Drosophila melanogaster: one gene and its partners. The protein of the gene in region 1 interacts with the protein of each later gene in a pairwise test. Each region holds a gene or a part of one and is shown on either strand. Other genes may lie near its edges.

The links.
Region 2: the proteins of zda (region 1) and SKIP interact in a two-hybrid assay, tested with the Drosophila melanogaster proteins (one large-scale study listed by BioGRID).
Region 3: the proteins of zda (region 1) and Ubc7 interact in a two-hybrid assay, tested with the Drosophila melanogaster proteins (one large-scale study listed by BioGRID).

Annotation. Positions count from the first base shown.
Region 1 is NT_033778.4:18,628,438-18,635,217, reverse strand, and holds zda (zonda), read left to right. Parts: upstream 1-3,315; 5' UTR 3,316-3,468; intron 3,469-3,582; exon of another isoform or gene 3,583-3,587; 5' UTR 3,588-3,593; coding exon 3,594-4,085; intron 4,086-4,139; coding exon 4,140-4,222; intron 4,223-4,279; coding exon 4,280-4,589; intron 4,590-4,649; coding exon 4,650-4,880; intron 4,881-4,941; coding exon 4,942-5,019; 3' UTR 5,020-5,624; downstream 5,625-6,780. Other genes in the region: CG30122 (uncharacterized protein), read left to right, coding at 277-448, 933-1,792, 1,855-2,026, 2,091-2,164, 2,232-2,396; Cth (cystathionine gamma-lyase), read right to left, coding at 6,042-6,780.
Region 2 is NT_033777.3:22,130,855-22,137,634, reverse strand, and holds the start of SKIP (shal K[+] channel interacting protein), read right to left. Parts: upstream 3,806-6,780; 5' UTR 3,184-3,805; intron 1-3,183. Other genes in the region: CG42390 (uncharacterized protein), read right to left, coding at 4,545-4,980, 5,391-5,534, 5,882-6,064, 6,293-6,392, 6,460-6,769.
Region 3 is NC_004354.4:16,590,090-16,596,869, forward strand, and holds Ubc7 (ubiquitin conjugating enzyme 7), read left to right. Parts: upstream 1-3,587; 5' UTR 3,588-3,911; coding exon 3,912-3,954; intron 3,955-4,016; coding exon 4,017-4,098; intron 4,099-4,181; coding exon 4,182-4,441; intron 4,442-4,601; coding exon 4,602-4,720; 3' UTR 4,721-5,778; downstream 5,779-6,780. Other genes in the region: SMC3 (structural maintenance of chromosomes 3), read right to left, coding at 1-2,657, 2,855-2,994, 3,071-3,185, 3,263-3,277; CG9784 (uncharacterized protein), read right to left, coding at 6,627-6,780.

The DNA of each region.
Region 1 (6,780 bases):
CGGAGTGTGGGCGGGAAGTGGGTGTCCCGCCGTGCAACAGGTATGTGTTAGATTATAAGCGCTGAAAGCAAGCGAGCTCAATGCGAGTTGGGTTCGATCCCGGTAGACCGAGGTCTCCAACCGAGCCGTATCATCAACGTGTTTCTCAAGTTCGACGACTGTCCCAACAACAACCAAACCAAATCCAACCAAACAACAACTGGCAGACAAAATCTGAACCCAATTCAACCAAACAACACCAACCAACCAACCGATCAACCAACTGTATTCTTGTAGACCAATGTGTATGCCTCGGCCCAGCGACGTAAAATGAAGGGTTTTAACGACTTCAAGCGAATTGCGGTCGTTTGCATACCCAGCGAAGATGAATTGAAACGTCGCATCGCCGAAAAAGAGGAAAAGGGAAATGCTTTTACAGTTAAAGAATCAACAATTAATAATTTACGAGGTAAATATTATCCACCACACCAAAGCAACGAATTGAAAAAAAAAATCCAGAATAATGTACGATCGTATAACTTATTATTCTACCTATCTAAATAAGGAGGCATTCTTGTTAAAATGAAAAACATTATAAAAACTTATGTAACGTATTTAGTTTGTAAGCAGCTGCACTTTATGTATCTATACGTAATTGTAACTGTAAGCCCTTCAAAATATCTCATAATTTGATTATTATTATTACCATTATTCATTAACATTTATTCTATAACAACCCCCACTTGGCAACTGGAACGTATAAAGGATGGACTTTATTCACAACTGGATTTCTTGAAAATCGAAATTTTTGCGCCCTTTTACGTTCGGTTGCCAAAGTTGATCCCTTCTTTCCCTCTATACTCCATCTACAATAATTCCTAATCTGTAATGATAATGAGCGATTTTAGCAATTGTGCAGCCTTATTGATGATGTACACGCAATCTTTTTCCAGCCAACTTCACACTTCCCTCGCTGGAGTTTGGCTGGTTCGATGATATAAACTACACGGAGCTGACTGGTGACGAGGCCAAGAGCGAGGTCAAGAAGTACAACGAGAAGGGCAAAAAGGCCATTGACGCGGAGAGGTCGCGTGACAAGAGATCCCGAGGAAGTCGCGACAACTATCGTCGTGATGACCGGAACCGGAATCGATACAATGATGACCGACGTCGTGATTATGGCGGCCAGCGGCACGAAAGTCGTTGGAGCGACTCCCGCAGGGGAGGCGGCGGTGGCGGTTACTCCAGCAATAGTGGTGGAGGCGGCAGTCGTGGCTACGACAATCGCCGCAACTACAACAGCGGTAGCGGTGGCCAGCAAAATTGGGTGCAGAACAGCCGCAGAAGCGGGTACGATGATCGCGGCTATGGTGGCGGTGGAAGCGGCAGTCGTGGATACGACAATCGCAACCGTGGATACGCAGGCGGCAGCGGTGGTGGTGGCGGCGGCGGCGGTGGTGGTGGTGGTGGTGGTGGTCAGCAAAACTGGATGCAGAACAACCGCAGAAGTGGGTATGACGACCGCGGCTACGGCAGCTCGCGGGACTATCGCGATCGAGACCGTGGCAACGACCGCAGTCGAATGGGCAGTAACGACCGGAACCGGGGCAGCAGCCAGAGTAGCTATCGCTCGGGAGGTGGTACTCATCAACAACGGGATTTTCGGCCTGGCCACCGCGACACCAAAGAAGATAGTCGCGGTGGCTATGAGCGGTCAGCTGGTCAATCGCTACCCAAGTATGGCAATAACACCGCTGTAGGCGGTGGCTACGATCAGTACAAGCAACAAGGTGGAGCACCTGGCGGAGGCAAGGTAAGTGTGCGACCAAATCCTCGACGCATGACAGCTGGCTAAGATCTCGATCGTTCCTGTAGGCCTCCCTTAGCGGCAAGTGGAGTACGTACAGTCAACACCATCAGCAACAGCAGGCGCCGCAGCATCAACAAACGGGCATCTGGCAGACTCAGCAGCAGTCACAACAATACCAACAACCTCAGCAAGCAGCGGCGGGCCAGCAACAATACTGGGCCTATAACCAAATGCAGAGTAAGTGACGCAGTGTTCGACTGCTTAAGGGCGAAGACTATACGAGTTATGTTGATTCTCCCAGCAGGTTATGGCAACCAACAGGCCTGGCAGAGTGCCGATCCGCAGCAGCAACAACAGTGGATGTCCTGGTGGCAGGTAAGCAGGAGGAGTCTTATGAAAGTCATTGGAAGCGAGAATACTAAAGATATTGTTTCTTTAACAGCAGCAGCAGCAGGGCTCTGGCGGAGCAGCGGCTGGGAATGCCAGTGGCGGATCAGGCGTAAATGTCGGCGGCGGCGCTGGCAATAATGATGGCGGTGCCGCCAATCATTACTGGTCTCAATATTCGTACTCCACGCAGTCCAATGCGGGTGCCGACAAGAAGTAGAATGCAGCAACACTATGCAGCCGTGTTCCACCAGGCCCAGACCCCTCTGCGTTGTCCCGAAAGGAGTTAACCACAAATCTGAACTAAACTTTATATAATAGTTTTAAACGATTAACGAACAGTAAAACAAAATTAATTTAGTTTAGCCAGTTTGGGCTAGTCGAAACCAAACAATTGCGAGGGCTAACCAAACCCTAAGTCAAAATTCTTACCTTACCTTCGGATGGATTGTACAAAACTAAGACTACATATATCATTTGAAATTGAACGTGAATGTTTCGCTTTTCATTTTCCACAACGCATTTTCTATATGACAGTGACGAAGCAATTGAATGAAACGCGGTCTTTACTCTGGCACTACGTATCTAGGCAGTACAACTTGTTTTAACGTTTATTACGATTATTGTTTTATTTTTTACAATCAACGCAAACAATTGAAATGAACGCATTAGAGAAGAAACATTAACGAATAAATCTATACATTGAAAAAATCTATTTAAACGATCTTATTACTGGGAAAGGGTGTGTAATGCGCTCGCATTTTAAAGGACAAATCGTTAAAACACGATAAACAGCTAATTTTAAAATTTACATTAGGCCGAATGCAATTTAAGAAATATTGGAGTCTGCAAGTATGTATTTTCTAATTTAGTGTTTAAAACAGTTTTATTAAACTAAAAACTAACGTTTGCTTTTTTTTTTAAATGTATATTTTTATTTCCAAAAAAAAATTAGTAAGTTTGCCTTAGATTTCAAACTTAAGTTGTGCTATGAGTAACTGAAATTCAAAAAAATAAAGCAAAGGATATTTGTAGCTAATAAATATTTTCTAAAGATAAGCTGTTTAAATAATAAACTAATGTGATAAAATTTTTACTTGAGTCACTACCAGTGCGGCTTAGCGGAATTTTCGGCAAACGGGCACACTGCAACTTGGTCACACTGGCTAGCTGGCAGAAGTCCGTAAAATTATTTTTCGTTTCCCAGTAACTTTCTTGTCGCATTTTGCTTTTGAAATCAAATTAAATCATTTTTTTTTTACCAAAATCCGATATCACAATCAGATACTGCTGTAAGTTGAGATTAGGTGTGCCGTTCTGAAACCAGCAAACTCGACCAACCCTCCCACTTTGCCTTTGCCCTTTGTTCCGAGTTCCACTGATTTACATACTTTCGCCTCGCCAAGCATAGGTAATTATGGATACGGAGAAGTCTAGCAGCAGCTCCTTCGAGGACCTGACCAACGCCGAGGACACCAAAGACATTCGCAAGGTGGCAGCGGAGGAGGCAGCCTCCGGAGATGGCGCACCCCCGGCATCCGTTTCTGGAGACGGACAGAAGGCGGAGGAGGAGGATGCAGAGGAGGAATGTGATATACTGGGTAACAAGCAGCTGATTAAGCGCACCATCAAAAAGGCACCGCAAGACTCGTTTAGGCGTCCGATTCGCGGCGAATTGGTCACCGTGAACTTCACTGGAAAACTGGACAACGGCACGGTGGTCGAGAACGAGTTGAACTTCCAGTGTCACGTGGGAGACTACGAGGTTATCCAAGGATTAGATATGGTGTTGCCCATGCTGCAGGTCGGCGAAGTGTCCCAAGTCAGCGTGGATTCCCGCTTCGGCTACGGCTCCCTAGGACTGAAAAAAGAGGGTGAATCCGAGTACCTGGTACCACCCGATGCGCACGTAAGTTTATATTCAAATTGTCATAAGAACTCTTCACATATATCAATTTTCCAGCTTACCTACGAAATAGAGCTTCTGGATATCAAATACGAAGAATTTGCGGACCTTAAGAGCTTTGAAATACTGCGCAAATATGGGTATGTTATATTCTTTGCTTTGCTAGTCGGTTCTTAAAAAATAATTCATCTTTTCAGTACGCGCAAGAAAGAACGTGCCAATTTCTTTTACAAACGCTCGGAGTTCACAACCGCCATTCACCTGTACAGACGTGCCCTCGACTTTCTGGACAATCGTGATGGGGATCCGGACTCCGAGTTCGACAAGGAAGACTTGGAGCTCTCGAACAGTGACACGCAGACCCTGCTAGAGGATCGGTTGATCGTTTACAATAACTTGGCAATGACTCAAATCAAGATTGCCGCTTATGACGCAGCTCTGCAGTCCGTGGAGCATGTGCTGCGGTGCCAGCCAAATAACTCCAAAGCCTTGTATCGCAAAGGAAGAGTAAGTTGTTGGCTCAGAACCATCGATTTTCATTCACAAAATACTTAAATTACCCGGCAGATATTGGAGGGCAAAGCGGACACCCAGGGTGCTATTAAGCTACTGCAAAAAGTGGCTACTCTCGAACCCGAAAATCGAGCCGTTCAATCGGATTTGGCCAGACTTTTCATCAAGGCTCGTCGTGAGGAGCACAACGAAAAGGAGATGTATCAAAAGATGCTGGGCCAGGCCAAAAAAATGGAGCAGAATACTGCCACCAGGCAAAAGCAGCCGCTTGTCGACAATTCCAAGGTGAGATAGCTAATGAGTTTATAAAAAAAAACCGAGTGTTAATTCTCATTTTGTCATTCAGCTGAAGCTGCTTGGCTATCTAATGGGTACGATATTAATTGGAGTGGCTGGCGTCGCTATTTATCGTTACAAGTACTAAGGACAAGCATTGCACACGAACTACTGGTTATTTTAAGCAATTGAAATGCATTTTTTAAGTATATATAGAAGGCAAAATTATGAATGTTGGAAAGTCGCAGTTGCTTATTATGATGATATGGCTCTCGTTGTACATTTAATGCTATGCACACTTCACAATAGTATGTATCTTTCAAATAGTATGGTTTTGGATATCGTACATATAATGTTAAAGCTTAAGTTTAATCAACTACATTCTGTCAGACAAGTAACGGGAATTGTTAAAATAAACACAATATTCTCATCATTATGTTTTATACAATTTTCAAACGAAATAAAGCAACACAATCGAAATCAGACCATATTTATGAACTTGCAATAAGGTTCGAAAGAAAGCATATGAAATACCATATGAATGTAATGATACTGATAAGAGCAGCACTGATAAGAACTCCTAACTTGATTTTTTTTGTTCGTTACTTAAATAATGCATGATTTAACTAAACTCTGCTCTAATCTAAAAGGCAAACGAACTTTTGTAAAAACAAATCGGAACATCCGTTCAAGAGATATAATTTTCTTCTATCGCGACTTAGAATGATTAAATGATGGTGCGAATTTAAACATGCTGATTCATTGTTTGCGTATGGTAATCGACATGACAATGGGTATATTTGGGTCTCCCAAGGCTGTTTCTATGGGGGGTCGTGGAGGTAATGCAGCTGCGATCGTATATAAACCTATCAAGACATCAACAATTTTCAGTATCTGATCACTATATCAACAATAATTGTGAAAAAAAAACCAGCAATAACACAAAGCTTTATTTACCACATCTTATCAGTTCGCCACAATCTGTAATATCTATTCGATCTATCCAGAAAGTCTATATGTTTACAAACGTATGTTTATAAGCAAGTGTTTATAAATATCTTTCATTTGAGACAAAACACTTTTATTGGGGTGATTAATATACAAATTCATAAGCTTTCGGTTAAACAAATTCCTGCGAAAAATAAAAAAAATACATGTGATGCGAGTAACTTAGGCCTTCGATGCAATTTCAAGGGCCTGCTCCAGATCCTTGATCAAATCATCGGCATCCTCCAGTCCGACGGACAAGCGAACTAGACCGTCAGTGATGCCCAAAGTTTTCCTATCCTCCGCTGGAACCGAGGCATGGGTCATTATTGATGGAAGCTCGGCCAGACTCTCGTAGCCACCCAGACTCTCTGCCAGGGTGAACACCTTGAGGGCCTTGAGGAAAGCCGAGGAGTGCTTCAGCTCGCCCTTAATGTAGAAGGAGAACACGCCGCTGTATCCGTATGCCTGCTTCAGAGCGATCTTGTGCTGCGGATGGGAGGGCAAAGAGGGATGCAACACCTTCTCCACGAACGGATTCGTCTCCAGGTATTTGGCAACCTTCAGAGCATTCTTCTGGTGCTGTTCCATGCGCAGCGAGAGCGTCTTAAGACTTCTGTTCACCTGATAGCAGTCGAATGGAGACGGCACAATGCCCACTGCGTTCTGCAGGAACTTCAAGCTTTTGTAGAGCTTCTCCGAGTTCATGGTGATGCCACCCATGACCACATCCGTATGACCGTTCATGTACTTGGTCAGGGAGTAGCAGACCAGATCAGCGCCCAGCTCCAAGGGTCGCTGGAAGTAGGAGGTCAGGAAGGTGTTGTCGACGGCCAGGACGATATCCTCGCGTACTCCATGGACCAGCTGCGCAATAGCCTCGATGTCGGCTACCTTTACCAATGGATTAGTTGGTGACTCG
Region 2 (6,780 bases), on another chromosome or scaffold:
AGGGCAGAGCACTAAGGGCCGAGGACAGCGAGTAGTTGTTGGCCTGCGGCTGCCCGTCCTGGCCAAGTTTGCGAGAAAATCGATTTTAGCGCTGCCTGCGCTCGCACGGGCGGCCTTTTGGATGCGAGTGTCCAGGTTTCAGGTCCAGATCCAGATCCAGCTCCACTGCGAGTGCGATTTCGAGTACGTTGCCCAGTCACAGTGCCATTCGTATTCCCCAGCCTTCAGTCCGCCAGTCGACAGTCCCACTCCCATTTTCATTCCCAGTAGGGGAGTTGCACTCCTGTTTGTCCACAGCAAGAAATACCAAGGGTTATACCTTTAAAAAGTTCGTTCTATGACTTTAAGAACTTAAACGTATAAAAGGATTTAAATTTAATTCCACATTTAAACTATCAAAAAAAAAAAAAGGAATAGCTTTTTTAAAGATAATTTTATAAATTTCATCCACTTTTCCGTTTAAGATTTATTTTGTTTCCCATTCTTGTTTTACAACTCAACTATTAAGATACACATATAGGCCTATCAGTACCATAAATCCACTTTATATCTGTGATTATCTTTATGGGGATGCACCTTTTTTTTGGCTCAGTGTCCGTTCTGTTTGTTTGTTTGTCGCTTTTAATGCTGAACGGAGTTGGCGAAGGCGACTCTTGACTGATTTTTATGCTTTTGGCCCAATTGCCCCGCAGTAGCCGCTCCGTTCGGAGAGCGGACTCCGATGGGCACTGGGCACTGGGCAATGGGCATCGACCGGTTCTCACTGCTCGGTCCTCGGTCCTCGGCCGGGATTACACCTTCCTGCCCTGCGAGGCGAGGTGCCCCCTCAATGCCACCCATTAGCGGCCCTTTGTTTGACTTGCAGTTGCAATATAAGGTCATTCCTCTGCTCTTGTTCTTGCCGGTGTTTTTGTTGCAGTTGCACGCTTTTCGTTTCGTTTGATGGCTGCGCACGCGGCCTTTTGTTAGTTTTCCCCAACCAATTTCATTTTTTCTTTTTTTTTTCCTTTCCATTATTATTATGCTTTTTTCGTACTCTTAAAGGGAACAACATCGGCGAAATCGCAGTCTAATCACTTCATTAGCCCGAGTCTCCCACCGCTTTTGGCCATGTTAACACGTTGTTCGCCTGCAAGTTGCACGAACTTGCTGGCAAAGTGCGAAAAAAAATGGATTTTAATTGAAAAAGTGTGGGAAGTGTAAACATCGATGCGACTTTTGCTTTCTTTGGATTGTTTAAGTGGTGCCCCGGATTTAATGTAAAACAACTAGAATGTATTTCAAAAGTATGAAAAATTCCATGAATTTTCTACAATTTTTGCAATCATAATTGTATAAATTTCAAGCAAATTTTTAATGGCTCTTAATAATAGTGCAAAATCATCGAGACAACTATGCTTTTATGTAAATTTTGTTTTGACCAATTACTCGGAGTATAAGTGCACATTTTGTAGATGTACAATTAAGTGTTGTTTGCCCACAACTAAATGCTTAAATGGAGACCATTAAAGTGGCTTTTAGAGCATCAAAACTCCAGTCGGAAATATCGCAAAAGTTGAATCGCAACTAATTTACTAACCCACACTATATTTGCCTAAAGTTTTCTCACAATTGTAAAGGTGAAATAGCATCAGCTGTGAGTCTGTGGAGCTGTGAAGAGTGCTCCTCTCGCTTATCGCATAATTGGTAGCAATGTTGGCTGCCACTTTTTGCTGCGGCTTCTGTGGCAGCAGGAACCATGGAAGCAGGCGATTCTTTCTCGGCTCTCCACCTCGCCACCGTATCCGTCGCATTCCGGAGATGCCGGCAAAACACTTGTCAGCGACTTAAATGGCGCGCAGCTGTGCGGCATTAGCTGGGGAGAGCTGGTAAGGCTGGGCAGCCAAGATCTGGGAGTTGAGAGGAGACCAGCGAGACCAGGGAGACCAGTGGACACACCTCTTAAGGAGGTGTTGCGACCGCTGCTCCAGGAAGTGGGCATCTGGAGGGGGAAGGCGTAGGGAGCACGGCACTGCAAGTCCAGTGGCGACATTTGATGTGATTATTGAGTTATGCCCACGGGGGCAGGTGCCAGGCATATTTCGCTTAATTTTCTGATGAAGTTATTCACCGAGATATGGAACGCAGCGAAAATGTACACGTATTATAAGCACAGATAAGCTACCCAAACAAGCAGGCACAAAAAAAATAAGAGACAAGGTAAAAGAAGGTGTGGTTGTGTGATTTTAAATGACAATCCTCTTCGGTGTCTAAAGTCGGCAGTTTAGGGTTTTATTTGGACACGGCCACGACAGGTGTTTAAAAAACATTTCAAGTCTCAAAATGTTGAAAGCACACAAGTAATCAATGTTTTTTTAATTGACGTTTAATTATTGCTCGAGACAGAAATTAATTGAGTTCGATAAATCATTATGTCGAACTTTCAATATGTCTTTGAATATTTCATATTATGTGATTCTGCATAATTTTCAATTAAAGAATTTATATCAGTGGGTTAAATGCGTGTTGTAATTTTGCACAAGAACTTTCAATTCGAAAGAAGATACGCACTTTTTAAGTGAAATATGTGACTTTATGAGTCATTCTATCTCAAAAAGGAAGTTTTCAAGACATTAAGGAAGTGTTTATACAATTTAAACCAAATGAGTGAAAAATGGACAATTGTATAACAAAATGCAGAGAGGAAGTGTTGCATAAATAATTAACATTTGTCAGGAAATCTGTGGGCAGCAACAACAAAAAGCCGGCCAAGAGTCAGAATTAGAGGGAAATAAGAGGGAGACAGAGATGAAACGAAAACAGCAGGCACTACTAAATCACCGACAACAACAACAACAGCAACCCCGGAGGATGAGGATAGAGTGGAAATGGGAAGGGAATAAAAACATAAAAAAAAGCGGCACAGATTGCCGAGAACAAGAACTAAACACAGGCACACACACAGTTTGAGCACTCCAGCTGTGTAGTTGTTGTTGTTGCTGTTTTTTCGCCGCTCCTTTCTGCCCTGCAATCAATAAAACGGATTAGGAATATCCTTTAAATGCGGCGCTTGGTGGAGGCTGCACACACACACTATCGCACTCACGAAATCTCCCTCACACACACAAAAGCACACACAGGCACACATGGCTGCAAATCTTTTACAATAACACATATAGGAGGAATAGAAGTAGCGGCACTTACTTTTCGTTTTCGTGTTTCTCCGTTCGTAGAGGAAATTAGGAGATGGCAATTGAAGGTGGAAGAAAGGAGGATGGCAAGGAGGAGATGAAAACAAAACCGAAAAACGTACACTCAAACACGCACGCACACGAAGACACGCAGGGCGCAATGATTTACCGTTACGCGACGCGAAAATGCTCACAGGAATGGCTACCAATTTACTCCAATTTTGATTTTGTCACTTGCATCACAAACATTCACATTCGACCCCAACGACCTTGCTGTTCCTCCTACGCGCAACTAAAGTGCTATGCTACAAATGCAATTTAAATGCTTGCTAAATAACTGGGTTTTTTTTTTCGTAGAGGAACACACACGACGTTTCAAATTAACAAATTGCTGCCGGTTGTGTCTGCGTTATCACGATTCCTTGATGGCATGGCTGATGGTAATTGGTTATTGGCCAGCCTGTTTGCTTATTAAACGGCTCGTTTGGCCACCGTTTTCGTTTCGCTCAATTCTCAATCACAACACACTTGCTTCAGTTTTACCGGCTTTTTCAGTTTCAATTTCACGCGAATAGACCGCTCGAGCTGGTTTTCAAAACGACCGGATCTCGAACATTTCGACGACTGACCGCGCGGCGATAAATGCGTTCGTATATATTCGTATATGTTGCTTGCTCCATCTGGCATTTTTAGCATCACAGCCGAGCTCGCGAACGGTCACTCTCTTGGTTCGATGCAACCGATTTAGTTCGAGTTCGAAGGGTTTCGAACTTACGTTTCTTATATTAAAAGAAGTGCACAAAAATTCAATAAATTGTTTGTTTCTATTTATATTTCATAATTAGAAAAGTACAATTATTGTTTACCGTTTTCTTGCCCGTAGATCATTTAAATTTAGCCGCGCCACAATTGCATTCTTATATTTGAAATACGTACTAATTGGGCGAATTTAGTTCATTTAGTACAATTGATGCGCATGCGTCTCTCTTGAAAATTAAATTCTCTCGCATTTACAGTGCCAAGATAACTGTTAAGCTAACAGCTGTTAAGTCTAAGCAATAAATAAAAAAATAGTAAACTGTATAAATATCAGTATTATTAAAAATATTTACATTTATTTCGTTTCTTTTTGTTTTTGGCGGTTTCAGAAACCAATTCAGAAATTTAATTTACAATTTTTATGAGTTCAAGCTTTGAGCGATTTGATTGAGTGGTTCGATTTCCGTATCCAGCGATACAGAGGGCAGCACATGAAGCACCAAAAGCACCCGGGATCACACACACATCCTTGGTCCTGGAACATCCACTCCTGGGGATCTCGAAGAATACAGCCACAAAATTGGAAGATCTATGTATATAGAAAGTTTTGACCGCTCACACGGCGGTGATGAGATGGGCGTCATCCTCGTTGATTCGATCCGACTTTCCATTGACCTCGATCGTGTGATTGGACTCGGTGTCGCTGGGTTCCTGCTCGACCTCCTCATCCGCTTCATCGTCCTCGTCCCCCTGGGAGGAGTTCTCACCATTTTCCTTGTCGGGCGATTCTCGCTCCTCGTTTTCCTCGTATATGACGTCACAGCTGGTGGCTATTGATTTGGGCGGCGGCTTCTTTACCGCTTTTCCACCGCCTTTGCGGTCACCATTTTGTTGCATCTCGGACATTTGAATCTGCATTTCCCGCAGGCGATCGGTGAGCACATACAAATCCCGCTCCTGACTCTCGCATCGTGTCCTCAATTCGGTTATCTCACGCAGATCCTCGGCTCGAGGATCTCGTCTTTCGTATCGCATGCGCATCTCCTCAAATCTGCGCAAAAAGGATTGCAAAATTCCTTAAATATTTACTATATTCACTACTAAACTACCAAAAAGGATAATGGTGAATTCAAGGCGGATGCTGGATACTGACTTGGCGTACAACATCCCACAACACGGACAAGCAAAAGTAAGATAAATTTGTGTTAAAGATAAAAAGAGTTAAAAGGTCGAGCTCTTAAATCCCTTTCCTTTCCGATTTTATTTTTTTATTTTTCAAAATTATATAAAGATAAGAATCTTATATTTTAGCAAAATTCGAAAGTTTCGAATCATAATTCCATAGATCTGTGGTCTCAATCACACTCAATCTTTTAATTAACTTTCCTTAGACTTAGGAACTCGACCTTGGGGAAGATGGGTCAGGGTGGCTGGTGGTTTTTGGGGAATGGGTGCACTTACAGATTGGTCAGGCAGCGGCACTTGCGATGCAGCTGCTCGATCTCGTTGGCGTTGCTGATGTCGCGCTTGTCCAGCGCCGCCTTCTCGGCATCGTAGGCCGCCTTCAGGTCCTTGAGATTGCGCTGGTGCCGAAGTTCTACATCGCTGCGGTTGCGGATGCGGATACGAATGCGTACGCGGATACGGATGCAGATTCGGATTCGGGTTGGGGTTATTCAGGTTATATAGAGTGGTCAGAGGTTGAGGTGGATACACACACATAGCGAGAAAGAGAAAGTAAAATATTAGGAGAATCGCACCAGAAGGACAACGTTTGACAAGCTGCATGCCAGATAAAAACATATTTTTTTTCTTATGGGTTTTGTTCGCATTTCAAACATTTCAATACCAATGTCTTATGTCTAACAAGAGATTTTCGATGATGGCCAGTCTTAAATTTAAATCAAGAATCATTTTAAGCGTGAAAAGGGGGATTAATATTTTATTGGCGCGCTAGGAGGTGGCGATATTTGATATAGATCACTGCGACAATATTGAACACCAAGCATGCAATGGCGATCAGCGGCGACATGGTCAGATATAGCACATATAGTGTGGGCATATACGGCCACGCCCCCTTTGCAAACGCCCACAGGGCTGGAGAGGCTGTCGATCGACCTAAACGCTGATCCATGCTGATCCAATGAATGAAATGTGAAACGAAAGAGAACAGAATACAAGTTCATGTGATAATGGATCGAGTTCAAGGACTCCAATGTGACAAATGTGGCAAATGAGTAGGATGCAGACATTCAATGCAAGCCAATGGATCCTGCTTCAATTTAGTGGGGAGCAGCGGTCAGGGGGCACTATTAAGGTAAGTATGCCCATGGGGCGGGGCATGCCACATTGCATTCACTCACTTGATTCGTTCATCGGCAGCGGCCATTTTTGCGCGATGTCGCTCCACAAGTTCCTGCAACGCCTCCTCCTTCTCCGCCTGCAACTTGGCCTTTTGTGAGTCTGCCGATTGATATAATCAATTATATAATTATATATAATAATAATCAATATACACATGTATCTTTACCCAGCTCCTTTCGATGTGATTCGACCATTTCCTGAGTGGAGAGCTGCAGTTCCTTGGCAAACTCCTCCTTAACTTGACCGAGACGTTCGCGGAACTTCTCCTCCATTTCGGCCTTCTCCGCCTCGAACTCCTTCTGGAGTCGTTCCTCCAGCTCGACACGGCGATCCTCCTCGCGGCACATGGCATTCTGGTACTCGCGATCGGCCTTATCCAAATGCATTCGGGTCTGAAGCAGGGCGTTATCCGAACGTTCGCGCAGGCTGAGGAAATCCTGTTTCTTTTGCTCCAGGCTCTCGTGCAGATCGTCAATCTAAATGATGG
Region 3 (6,780 bases), on another chromosome or scaffold:
TTCAGGTGCTGGTTTGCCTTCTCCAGCTCTTTGAAGATGTTCTTCAGGGACATGCGTGTGTAGGAAGGATCAACTAGCGGCACGGCGCCCAAGCTGGCAATCTTTTCCGTACACTCATCGATTTTTTCGTTGAGCATGTTCTCCTTGGTCGACCATTTCTCCAGCTGCTTGGAATCCTTGTTAAGATTCTCCTCGGCCTCCTTCTCCTTACGCACATGCGTTTCGAGCTCCTGCTGCAGCTCCTTTTGCAGTTGCACAGCCTCCATTACCCGCTTTTCGATCTCCTCCAGATCGGAGTTGACCTTCTTGATTCTCTTTTCGGCGGAAACCAGTTCCGTTTTGCAATTGTTTAGCTTTCGCTTGCGGTCCTCCACGGAAATCTCCTGCAGCGCTTGGATCAGTTCGTCGCGACGCCGGAACAGATTGTTGATCAGCAGGTTGTCTAGCTTGTTCTTGCGCACCTCGAACTGCATACGCTGCGTAAACGCTTCCTTATTCTCCTGGTTCAGTCGACGAATGTCGTCGTTCAGCTGGTCAATCTCACGCTGATCCTGCGACGACAACGTCGACATCAGCTCCTGCTTCAGCTCCGCCTCCAAACTAGATTTCGTACTGGTCATGGACTCCAATGAGGCCTTGCATTGGGCCAGTGAGCGCTCCTTGGGCGCACGATACTGCTCGATGCGCACCAGCTCCTCCTTCATCAGGCGAATCTCGCCCTGCACCTTTTCGAATACATCCTTCGACTTGCCCTGCTTCGTTTCCGTCTTCTGCATCTCGGATACGATTGAGTTGATGTTGTTCTCGGTGGACTTGAGCTCGTTTCGCAGCTTGCTGAGTTTCTTTTCGAATTCAGCTATCTGGCTGGTGTATTCCGTGCGCTTCTTTTGCATCTCAAGACGGGAACGGGATGTATTGAAATAGCCGCCAGTGAGGGATCCCTTGGAGGACACTTGATCTCCGTCCAGCGTAACGCAATCCAGCCCAGTGCTCTTGGCCAGCTCGGTGGCGCGCTCCAAATTTCTGCAGATTAGCGTTTTTCCAAAGATATACCTCAGCGCCTTGTCGTGCTGTTCATCGTACTTCAGTTTGGAGATCATAGGTATGGAGTCGGGATCATCCGGATAATCGTGTATTTTAACCTGAAGTCGATTCAGGGGCATAAAGGTCACCTCGCCCGGTAATTTCAGCTTATTCATCTCCTTGAGGATTTGCGTGCCCTCGTATTCTGACTCCACAATGTGATGGAATAACCGATTGGCGGCTGTTACCTCCACCGCCGTGTAGATGGTCTTGTCGCAGCTGAAGTTCTCAATGACGGGTCCATAGTAGGCTCTCGCAATCTCCGCCGATTGACCGCCACGTTCCACAAAGCTGTCGAGAACCTTGCGCACAGAATCGCAACCGTTCAGGATCGGCTTGCCGGCCATGCTGCGCAGCGCCTGGTCCGCCCGCGATAGCTCCTCCTTGTGCGTCTGCAGCTGCTGCGTCATCTGTGTCTCCTTGCGCCACAACTCGTTTCGCATGGACTGATGCTGGTCCTTGGTCTTCTTAAGCTCGTAGTACTTCTTGTTGTGCTCGTCGATCTGCAGTCGGAGCTGCTCCAGTTCCGATGAGTGCTCCTCGATCTTTTGACCCAGATCCTTTTCGGAGGTAGCGTCCTTCTTCAGATCCTCCACGAGTTTTGCGTGATGAGCGATTTTATCGCGCGTCTGTTTGCTAATTGACTTCAGCTCGTTGGTGATCCATTTGTCGCGATCCTCCCTAGAGGAGAACTGTGAACCGCGACCCTGCTTGGCGTAAAGCTCCTTGCGCTTCTGTTCCTTGAGCTGCAGCTCTCGGGAGCAGTCTTCCTCCTTGCGCTTCATCGCCTCGTATTTGGGCTTTACGTCGTCCAGTTCCTTTTCGCGTTCGGCTATCGTTACCTTAAGGTTCTTAAGCTCCTGGTCAGCCCGCTCCTTGGACTTGTTGTCGCCCTGAACCTCGTCATTTAGATCGACAATGGTTAGGTCTAGTTTCGTTTTCTCGCGCAGTAACTGTTGCTGCTCCGTCATCAGTACGGAGCGCTCCTCCTTTGTGCTCTGCACTTTCTTCTTTGCCTCTTTAAGGTTCTTTTGCACATCCTTGATCTTCTCTTGTGCCTTCTGAATCTCAATGTTGTAGATCTTCTTTTTGTCCGAGGACGACTTGCGCTGCAGCTGGAGCTCGTCGAGAGCCTTCTTGGTGTCCTTCAGCTCGGTTTCGTAGCGTATATACTCTAGCGTGCGGCGCGTCTTGTCCCACTTCTGGTACTCCTTTAGCTCTTCCTTCTCCTCTTCGAGCGTCTGGAGCCGATCCTCGATGGTCTTTAGGTACTCGCTGATTTTCTCCACCTTGCTGTCCGTCTCGCGCAATAGATTTAACGACTCCTCCTTCCGTTCGTCGTAAACACGCGTTCCCGCGACTTCGCGTAGCAGCTTGAGACGATAGGAATCGGCGGCAGTTGCCATCTGATTGATTTTGCCCTGCTTGACAATGTAGTAGGGATTTGAACTGGAAAAACCAGCCGATTCCAGCAGATTGACCACCTCATTGCGCGGCACCACCTTCTTGTTGAGGAAGTACTGGTCCTTTTTGGCGCCAATCACGCGCCGCAGAAAGATCTCTTCTTTGTCGATCTACAAAATAAGCGTAGCGTCAGTTATGAAGTGGCTAGAAATGTTTGCCTATAAGTTTGAATATTATGAGAAGATGCTATGAGCGGGTTGCTTTAGAGGATTTTGAGCGATATGTTACAACCATTGACTACATCTTCCAAGGCAGTAGAGTTCTTGCAAAGACTATGTTTTCTGGGTCACTTGGTTTGACTACTCACTGGAACTCGGTTGTCCGAGTTGTCGAAGATGATCTCCACATAGGCGGAGATGACGCGGGCACCTGTTCCCTCGTGCAGAAGCGACTGACGCTGCTCCGGCCGCAAGTGGGTGAACTCATCGCTTAGCACAAACTGGATGGCTGCAAAGTGGATGGGATAGCATTAGGGTCGATTAAATATGGTTAGCTGAACAGGCAGGCTGGAGCTGATACTAACCGTAGAAGAAGTTGCTCTTCCCGGAGCCATTACGTCCAACAACAACGTTATGGCGCTTGTCGAATGGTTCCACCACCGTCTGGTCCTTGTAACTCTTGAAGCCTTGTATAATAATCTGGAATTAACGGGTGGATTTCAGATCTTCGGTGTCCAATGGGTGGCCAGGAGCATGGCCGTCATTTCAACACTCACCTGCTTGATGTGCATCTTATTATATGCGATTTTTTGCACAAAATCGCGCTCTTTTTGTTTTACAACAAATACATAAATAATATCGACTCGGGCAGCGACTTATCGATGTTTGCGTTTCACTATCGATGTCATCGATATCCCAACTTTGAAAAACACTGGCTTGCAATCGAACCAAAAATTCAAATGATATAAAACAAAAAAATAATTTTAAATTTTACAACTAAAAGTGTCCATCAATAATGGTTTAAGAAGCAAACAAATAATTAATTTAATAAGGTAGTTTGAAGGTGTGAAATACTAAAACAACGATAGCCGACGTTATCGAATCGAATCGATTACTCTTGTTAAATTCACTCAGTACAGATATATTTTTATAGAAAGCCACTCGATTCATTCGATATAAATAAACACGGAACACCGTTTGTGTTTATTATATTACGACGTGTCTGTATTTTGACCCGTGCCCGAGGATCTGGAAAGTTCGCGATTGCCGCCAAAACAAGCAAGGACCCCATTCGGGTGTAGCAGGTGCAGGAGCAGGTGGACAGGAAACGGAGAAGCAGCTGAAGGAAACTCAAAGGAAGTGGTCACAGTGGGGAGAAGGAGCCCGTGAACTGAACCATCATCATTACCATCGAGCGCATTTAGGATGGCTGGGTCCGCACTGCGCCGCCTGATGGCGGAATACAAACGTGAGTCGAAAGTCCACAGGGCAGCAACAGCTTTCCCTTACCACCGCTCCGATCATCTCCAGAGTTAACACTTGACCCGCCCGAGGGCATTGTGGCCGGCCCCATCAGCGAGGACAACTTCTTCGAGTGGGAGGCACTGATTGCGTGAGTTAAGATCCCCGAACGATCGACACGGATCGGACAGATGTGGACAGATTAACCCATTAATTGCACTTTGCCCTTTGCAGCGGACCTGAGGGCACTTGTTTCGAGGGCGGAGTGTTTCCTGCCCGGCTCATCTTTCCGACCGACTATCCTCTGAGTCCGCCTAAAATGAAATTCACTTGTGACATGTTCCATCCCAACATATTCGCCGACGGGCGGGTCTGCATATCAATACTACACGCACCCGGCGACGATCCCATGGGCTACGAGCTATCCGCGGAGCGCTGGAGTCCTGTCCAGAGCGTGGAGAAGATTTTGCTTAGTGTGGTCAGCATGCTGGCGGGTAAGAAAAAAGTCACAATAAAGTCTTAAGGGCAATTCCAACGGGGGTATCTACTTCCAAGTTCATTTGTTCACTAGATTATATGGTTGATCATGCCGATAGTTCACTTCACTTGTTCATTCCTTAAGTTCAAACTGATGTCGTTCATTTTTGCCCACAGAACCCAACGATGAGAGCGGCGCTAATGTGGATGCAGCAATTATGTGGCGCGAACAGAGGGATGAGTTCAACGCCATCGCCCGACGGCTGGTGCGCAAAACTCTTGGTTTACCGGCGTAAATGGATCATGTGCGTCACCGTCAATACTTTCTACCCTGAACAACACGATTCCAACAACTCGCTAACCCATAGTTTTCTCAAAAATCCCTCGTTGAGCTAACCGACACAAGTTTCAAATTAGCAAAAATGAAGAACCTAACGTCAAAATCGACTAACTCAAGTTTATCTAGCACACTGACTGCCTCACCGGACTTAACTGGAGGGCCTATTACCTGAAGTACATCACTGGTAGTTGGACACGAGGCCAGGTGAAGGCGGAGTGAGAAGTTGGCAAGAAAAGTGAAAATTCTAATAATTTCTATTATTAAAGGTTTATTTTTTTTTATATATTTTCACTAGATATAATTTGTATTGATGCTTTATAAAGATGCTGTTTTGAAAAGTTAAATAGAAATTACGATAATTCAAGTGCAAGGGCAATGTATTCGAAGTGATTGAGGCGTTTGATTTGCATTATGCTTTATGTTTGGTTTATATAGTCATTACACACTTAATTCGACTGATCATTAACTGAAATCCAACATGAAATTGTCCTATGTACTCATAAAATACTACACAATTGTAAACGTTTTCATTCGATTAAGTAAATTGATTAATGTTCACTTTGATAAGGCATACGACTGTATGTATGTATATATATATATATATTTATATGTTTATAGGTAGGTGGGTAAATGCACACCCATACACATACATTGGTTAAGTGTCCACTGGTATGAGGGTAATATAGTTATCTAATAGTTGCTGAAGGTTACTAAGCCACACGAATTTCAATTGACCGGGCCCGCATAAATTAATGCTCTCTGTCTTCTTGGTTTTCGGACCATAGATGGGCTCGAAAATGTTTACACCATTCGATCGTTCGAGTACGGTGGGCACCACAGACTTTTACGGCCCACTGTACGTTCCACCAGTTAGTCAGTCAGTCATCAAAACATTGCCAATTAGTGGGAGTGGGCAAGGGCTGCGCCAGTTCGGATTTCCATTGACCCACTGTACGGTGGGTGGGGGAAGTCAATGCAGATTGCTTGAATTTTCTGCTTGGTGGTCTACTTGGGTTGCAGCTATCGTTAAGGTGCAGTTCTTATCTAAACTATCCTTATATAAATTTTATAGATTATATACCAATCAGATAATGGAAAAAACATCGCATGCCGCTTTATAAAAGTCTACGTTTCCGGAGAAAAACCTTTTCTTTTTGTTTAAAACATTAAAAATCTTTCGTAAGTTGAGCTGGTTGGTTTAGAATCATGGTTAAAAAGTTCACTTTTCTCTTTTTTGTTATTCAAAAAATTAAATACAATTTGCCTACATTAAATAGTAGTTAAATGAAGATAAAATTATATTCATACTTTGCTACTCTATTCAATATAATACCTTTTCTCTATATATTTCACTTGAGAGGCATTCAAAAATATCACTTTTCAGACTCCGGTTTCTGCCCATTTTGGCTTAGAGCTCTCACCTGGCTCTCATCAATAAGTTTTTGCCTGTTACTGGCAACAGGGTGTGTCATAGTGTAGATGTGTGACAGTGAATGTGGCGTAATTAACCTTTTGACAAACCGGTTAAATACAAATATCTAGTGCCATGACACCGTACAAATAAAAATAACAAAATGACAGCAGAGCAAATAGAACATATGTATGCAAACGAAAAAGCGGGATTCATTCAGGGCGGGAATAGGTGGAATTGGTAGTAAACACAAATATTATTGGTTCGATAATTATGTATAATTACATATGTATGTATTAACGTATTTTGGAGGGGGGGAGAGGAGAGGAGGCGCTGAGTCAACAGCTAACAAGCAAACTTAACACGGTCACATGAGGTCAATAAAATTAGATCAACACGGCGGTTATGGAAACAGAGACTAAAGAATAAAGATATCCAGAGCCTCGGCTAGCTAGTCAACATGGTACTCCGTCCGATGGGGCGAGCCGTGCCGCTTCTCCGCCACAAAGACACCACTGACGCCGGCCAAACTGGTCACGCCCCGGACTCCGGTGCTGCGGAAATATATCAACAGGTATTGCTCGCCGTGACGCAGTTCCACATCG